2 linked regions of the Arabidopsis thaliana genome follow. Each later gene encodes a partner of the first gene's protein in a complex. Each region holds a gene or a part of one and is shown in the gene's direction. Other genes may lie near its edges.

The links.
Region 2: AT3G18500 (region 1) and AT3G44240 share a complex: the UniProt entries of both Arabidopsis thaliana proteins name them as parts of the CCR4-NOT complex.

What each region holds. Positions count from the first base shown.
Region 1 is NC_003074.8:6,350,256-6,354,192, forward strand, and holds the start of AT3G18500 (DNAse I-like superfamily protein), read left to right. Parts: upstream 1-2,216; 5' UTR 2,217-2,288; coding exon 2,289-2,601; intron 2,602-2,775; coding exon 2,776-2,945; intron 2,946-3,015; coding exon 3,016-3,081; intron 3,082-3,246; coding exon 3,247-3,299; intron 3,300-3,392; coding exon 3,393-3,474; intron 3,475-3,561; coding exon 3,562-3,651; intron 3,652-3,937. Other genes in the region: ASPG1 (Eukaryotic aspartyl protease family protein), read right to left, coding at 1-337. UniProt on the Arabidopsis thaliana protein: Acts as a catalytic component of the CCR4-NOT core complex, which in the nucleus seems to be a general transcription factor, and in the cytoplasm the major mRNA deadenylase involved in mRNA turnover.
Region 2 is NC_003074.8:15,938,287-15,941,735, forward strand, and holds AT3G44240 (Polynucleotidyl transferase, ribonuclease H-like superfamily protein), read left to right. Parts: upstream 1-1,897; coding exon 1,898-2,617; downstream 2,618-3,449. UniProt on the Arabidopsis thaliana protein: Ubiquitous transcription factor required for a diverse set of processes. It is a component of the CCR4 complex involved in the control of gene expression.

The sequences.
Region 1 (3,937 bases):
CTCGGGATGAGTCGCGCTCGAGTCGACTGAGTGTTAAGCTTTTGTAGTCTTTGTGCTGTGACGCGACGAAAGTGTCTCGAGAGTGAAGCTCTAGAGATAGTGGTGAAGATGAATTGAAGAAAACCGGGTCGGATAGGGATTCGGGTTTGGTGGTGGTGAGTGAGGAACGAGTCGGGTCGAGTGAGAGGATAGTTTGTGTTTGCTGGAGAGATGAAACGACGTCGAGTACGTTCGTTTTAGGTGGAGTGGATAGAGAGCGAGAGGAAGCATCAGTGGTGGTGAGGAAAAGAGAGAGAGTGACGACGGCGAGGAGAGAAAGAAATCGCGGGAAAGCCATTATTTCCGGCGAAGGTTGATATGAGTTAAGTGGAAGAGAGAAAGAGTAAGTAATGTTTTTAATTTATAGAGAGAAAAATAAATGCTGCGGAGAGAGTCACGCCAGAATTGCTGCGGTTATAAAAGCCACATCAATTATTTATCATCCTGTTAAAATATTTGGATTCACATTATCATCGATCGGTAAAAAAACTTTATGGTTGGATATTATATTTTATATATACAAAAATAAATTAAATAAGAAGTCTTAATCTGGATTTATCATATGATTCCCAACATAGCGTTACATTTATACCGAATCAAATAAAAATTTAGACAAATGTAATTTGAGAATTGTGTTTATTTGTTATTGGCACCGAAAGAAGAATTTGTACTTTGTAGAATTCAACACAAAACTATAGCATAGTGTCTGTAGTCTGTACGGACGAGAGTAGAAACTGTAGAAGATAGGGATTTGACCTACTAAATATTTTAATACAAGTCTACAAGCGATTATCCAATATTAAGCTCCTAGAGATGTGTGACTACAGAGTACTTAAGTGTTTATTTATTGCAATGACCTTTGGATACAAAGTACTCCTATATTGTTAACCAATTCACTTTTAATTTTTTTTACGTGACCAAAGCTAAGATCTTATCTAGAAAACTAAAAGCTTTCTGTCCTTTTGTTATATTCGGGCTTCAAAACTTTGTACCTTCTTCTTACCATCGCTGTCGAGAGAAAAGTCAGCAGAAGTTTTGGAAACTATTAGTTATAGGGATCGAATTATCTTAATCATCTACGATCATGTCATTTTGTGTTGGATATTTGTTAATGCTTGTACATTTCTAAAAAAACATGTGTTGTATATTAGCTAATGTCAATATGTGGTGCATATTTGCTAAGTTGCCGTGGAAATAACAAAAACTTAAAATTTTGCTAAGTACTGTACTTTTTTTTTTTTGTGATTGCAATTTGCTTAAGGTGATTGATGAACGAAGGCTATATGTAAAAACTGGAAAGGAGTGAATCAATGTGAGAAGTGGGTGAGTTGTTACTTCGTTAGAAGAGAGATTTGGGTTTATTTCGCTTTCCCTGAATTAATGGTAACGCACCCTTTTGGCTTTGGTTGTTGCGTGTCATTTATTTCTCTTTTGTTTTTAATCTTGTTATATCCATTTTCTTATACCTACTTTACTTTTTTTCCATAAAATGAGATTATGCAATTCAATCAGTAATGTTTTAAATCGCATACACTTTTATATTTAACAATATGCCTTCACTAATTTGTATTTCAAGATTAGTTAGTGATATTTTATAGTAAAGTTTAAAGAACATTATAATGTAGACGCAATCATAGAGTTTTTCTTTGTCAAAGGCAATATTGCAACAAAAAAAAAGGTAGAAACGAAGACATTTTTTTTTTTGTGTGTGTAATCAGTAATCGCCTTACACAAAAAGACATATACTTTTTTGTGTAAGGTTTTTTTTTTTTGAGCTACTATCACTAAATTTGAAATCAAATAATTGATACTCCAATAAAAGTAGAAATAATATCATAGTATATGAAAAAACAAAAAAAAATTACAAGGACGATGAAAGAAAAAACAAAATCTCATAACTCAAAATCAAATATCATCTCCAAGTTCTTAACATGATAAAACTAGACTAAAATAAAAACTGACATCCTACTAAAATTAGAAACAAAATGACATAAATTGAAATCAAACTCACAAAAAAAAACAATAGACATTAAAACAAAAAATCCGAATAACAAAAAACAGGATCTCAGCTAAACAAGGCCTGGTGTAGTATACTAGTATTGGCCCATGGCCCATGGTTTGGTATTTTTTTTTCTCTGACCAAAGGAAGAAAAAAAAAAAGATATTTATCCGTATGGCGCCAAGAGGTTTGTGTGGTTTTCGATTTCATCCAAATTTCTGAATTTCGTCTCTAACATCCACAAAATCGAATGCGTTGTGTGAATCGCGTTGATTGTTCTTGGTCACGGCCAAGCGAAGCTTACCGTATCTTACCCTCCGGTGGTCACCTTTCATCTGGATTCCATCAATGTCCTTTATCGTCTCTATCTTTCCGTTCCTCTTTCGTGTGTTGCTCCTCCTCCACATCTGGACCGTCCGATTCAAATCCCGAATCATCTTCAAATCGCTCTTACAGCCGTAGATGGCAGAATCCTCTTCCCCGGCGTCAACATCCCGATCAAATACCGTCTTCTCAGATTGCTCGTGATTGGATCGATTCAGATACAACTCCAGTTTCTCAAGGTAGTTTAATAATGATCTTATGGAAAAACTCTGCTCTTACTTATGAATTTGTGAACTAGTTAGGATTTAGTAAATTAGAGATATTAGTAATAGCTTGAGTTACTGTTTGTCCATGAAGCTTGTGAAATTGTGGATGCCTTTGGATCTTACTAGTGTGTCTCTATGTAATATTAGCTTTAGAGAGATTCACTGTAGTGTCGTACAACATATTGGGAGATGGAAATTCATCATATCACAGAGAGTTGTACTCCAATGTGTCTGTTCCTTACCTCAAGTGGGGCTACCGCAAAAGGTTGATATGCGAAGAACTCATTCGTCTCAATCCAGACATAATCTCTATGCAGGTAATGAACTTTACCTTGTTTTATATCGTGTTAAGATAGTTAAGTTGATTTTGTTTGTGGACCTTTGTAGGAAGTAGATAAATATTTTGATCTATTCAGTATGATGGAGAAAGCTGGATATGCTGGCTCCTATAAGGTTGATGTATTTCCTTGTTCAATGAAAAATTTTATGCTTATAAGATTAATGGGGTAAAATGTAAGACATGGTTTGTCGGTTGGTTTTATTTACCTTTTCGTCTGAAGCCTCAACAAAAGTTGTGTTTATATAGAAGGACTACAAATATAAGCTTTGCAATGGCAGCGGCGAACTGGAGATAACGTCGATGGTTGCGCAATGTTTTGGAAGGCTGACAGGTAGCACATATTGTTTGACTCAATCTGTATTAGTGTGAAGAAAAACGACTACTACAACTCAGCATTGTTTAAGATTTATCTTGTTTTCAAAAGGTTTGGAGTTTTGGAGAGGGAAAACATTGAGTTTAGCCAGTTTGGTATGCGGGATAATGTTGCACAGCTTGCTGTTCTTGAGGTAGAAATTTTTTTTGAATGTTTTACGAACTTCTTTTTTCATGTATATGCTTTGACTGATCCAGTTTTTTTTTGGGTTTCCCGTCAGCTCCGGAAGTCTAATAAGTCAAGAAAGATACTGCTGGGTAACATTCACGTGCTTTATAATCCAAATCAAGGAGATGTGAAGCTGGGTCAGGTAAGCCTCGACATTTCAATTTGTATATCCGCTACACGAGCAATTGACTGTCATGAAAGTTTACAAAATGTTGATCTGGCCCTTTCACCTTTGGCTTTAAGACTTCAGGAAATTGTACTGAATCTCAGTCAAGAGATGTTTACTAGCATTAGTTTAAATATCTAAGACAAGTCTAAGTTACTAGTATATGTCATGACATGTTCATTAGTATATGTCCTAATGCTCATGAAAACGTATTGAATTCGTGGCTTATGTTTTTTCTTGAGTTCCTGATTTGCCTTGTTCT
Region 2 (3,449 bases), 9.6 Mb from region 1:
ATACTGAATACTCAAATATCTATCTGTTACCAAATTATAAACAAATAAGTTCGTAAAACAATTTAATATTTTATATACAAAATCAATTAAATCTTAATCACATAAAAATTAGCACAAAAAAAAGTATTCAACAATTAAAAAATTATCAAATCTCTGTGTTATATAAGTTTTGATACTATATTCGAATAAAGTGTAATATTCCTTTTCGATTTGTATTCTTTAACTAATTTAAGCTGACTAATATATTTGTTAATCTTATACCTATCAAAACCGACTATCGTTTTTTATCTCTATAGTATTTTTGCAACATTTGTTTGGTGGATTTGGGTAAAAGTGCATTCGGGTCATATGGTACATTCCCCTATTAAATAAATATGGTGTACTCCTATGTTATCAGCTAAAATATTTAAATTATAATTCAGAGTCATATCATTAGTAAAATTAATATTAATAAAATAAATGGCTTTTTGGCAAGACGGATTTGGAGTGACGGGTTTTTGAATCAACATTAATAAAAAAGTAAAATATAATTAATCCACTGTTTCAATACGGGTTAAATCTTTAATTTATTATTTTTTAAGATCACTAATATTAAACATATCAAATCATCCTAATTTAGAAAAGATTATATAAAACCAAAAATGTTATGTGGTATGTATAATATTACTATATATATAATTAAATTATAAAATATAAATGTATTAGAGAATATACAATTTACAAAACTTTTATATATAAAAAAGAATTCTTAAATTTTAAAAATTACTACTTTAAAAAAAAAATCACAGGACGGGTAAATAAATTATAGAACAGGTTTTATTTTGGAATTGGGTTATATGGTGGATGTATTTGAATCAATATTTATAAAATTTTAAATTATTATTATGCTGTTGTTTTAATAGGGGTTACAACTTCAGTTTTTTAACAATTATCTCATGGATTCGTGGTATAGCGTTATTTAATAACAATTATAAACTGTAAAATATAAATATATTTTAAAATTAAAAATTGCAAATTTTAATATATATTACTTTTAAAATCGTCCCGCGGTATACCGTGCGGTATACCGCGGGTTAAAATCTAGTTTATAGATAAAGCCAATACATTTCCTTGCTAAATTCAACATACTAACAACTAGATTAGTAGAGCTACAATTGCAAATATACCATTCCTTTTACAATATAATTATTTTAAAATAGGTTTTACTAGAACGATTCATCTTAATTAATATAAAATAGAAAAGAAAGTTTATTTTTAAATTTTTGCCTTTTTAACATTTGTAATCTTATCACACTAATATTGTGATGAATATATTAGAAAGTTATTTTGATTTTAGGAAATTGACAGTCTAAATTTTATAGATACATGAACTCATTTACGGACTAAATTCAACATACTAGCAATAACAGCTACAATCACAAATATAGTATATTCTTTTTGATAGATTTATCTGAAAATATATTTTTCACTAAAACAATTAATCTTAACTAATAAAATGGAAAAAGAAAGTTCATTTATGAATTTTTGTCTTTTTAACAATAAGAGTCTCATCACATTAATATTGCTAGTGATGAAATATGTTGAAAAATAGGTTTACTTTTGGTAGTAAACCAATAAAAGAATAATCTGAATTTGTAGCATTGATTTCTTATAATATTGTGAATTTTAAATACCTGAAAGGTGAATTTAAATGATCAGTAATTACAATATTAGTCTCGCAAGAAAACAAGAAATTTCCTTTTCCAAAACCGAAATAACTAATAAAATCAAATCCAAGACTTTTGCGGCGGTGACAGACTCTATAAAGAAGTTTCAGTCCCAAGACTCCCTCACATTATTTTCTCTCGCTCTCGAACAAAATGGTCGTGAAATCTGGAATTGAAATAGGAACAAGGAGATGAGTTTAATAGAAGATTGTCTAAGAAGCTACCGTTTCATTGCAATAGACACAGAGTTTCCATCTACTTTGAGGGAAACTACACAACATGCGACAGATGAGGAACGTTACATGGATATGAGTTTTAGTGTGGACAGAGCAAAATTGATCCAGTTAGGGCTAACTCTGTTCGATATCAATGGAAGAATTGGAGGAACATGGGAGATCAATTTCTCTGATTTCGGAGTTGACGATGCTAGAAACGAGAAATCCATTGAGTTCCTTAGACGCAACGGTCTAGATCTAAGGAAGATTAGAGAAGAGGGCATCAGAATCGAGGGTTTCTTCTCGGAGATGTTTTGGATGCTGAAGAAGACGAGGAGGAATATTACTTGGGTCACGTTTCATGGATCTTACGACATCGCCTATTTACTCAAGGGTTTCACCGGAGAAGCTTTACCTGTGACTTCAGAGAGGTTTTCTAAAGCGGTCGCGAGAGTTCTCGGTTCTGTTTACGATTTGAAAGTCATGGCGGGTCGATGTGAAGGACTAAGTAGCAGGCTTGGTTTGGAGACTCTAGCGCATGAGTTCGGACTTAACCGTGTTGGTACTGCACACCACGCCGGTTCCAATAACGAGTTAACGGCGATGGTTTTCGCTAAGGTACTGTCTCCGTTTCCTCTCTTTCTTCGTTTTGGTTCTTTGGAGTTAAGAACTATAGAAAGTGAAGCAATAGTGTAGTGTGTGTGTGTGCTTTGTGCCTTTGTCTAATCCTAAGACTGATCAATGATATATGTCCGTTCAATTATTTTTCTAGTAATGAGATGTTTTCAAGACTCAAGATACATTGAAGATGGAGAAGTAGCAGCATACACCAAGAATAATTTGACATGGCCCAATTGAACAAGATCATTCCCATCCTTTACCATGTCTTGTGATCCTAGCTTGTGTTTCTGCTGTGTATTGATTTGTGATCTTAATTCAACACTAGAACTTTTTCTTCATTACATGTTGACTTGACTAAAATGTTGATACTAATATACTACACAATCATTTAGATGCATGAATGATCAAGTTCTATTCTGATTGATATTGTCTTCATAGAACTTAGTGATTAACTAAATTTTATTTATACACTATTATTCAAATAACCATTTGTATCGTATTCTCATTTACATGGCTTTGATAGAATTTAGTAATGCTCAGTTTATATAAATTGCCAAATATGATACCAAATATTTGTGCCTCGTCATAGATCATGAATTAAACTACTGTATATGATTATCTAGTTATTATTTTTATTATTTTAATTAAGTCCGAACTGTATTTAAAATGTTTAATAAAAATAATTTATTAACTTCAAATATTTCATAAATATCTCATACAATGAGCTCACAGGCAGAAAAAAAGAAATAAAATATTCAAAATCTAAAGTTCCTACCTGCTATTTTTCTGCAAATTCTCTCACTTCACTAGATATTTTTTGATTAAAATCGAGAAAAGTAAATGGTTTAAAGATGATATTTTCCGATTAGTAACCACTTTTGAGGAAAAAAATGAGTAGGAAAATCGT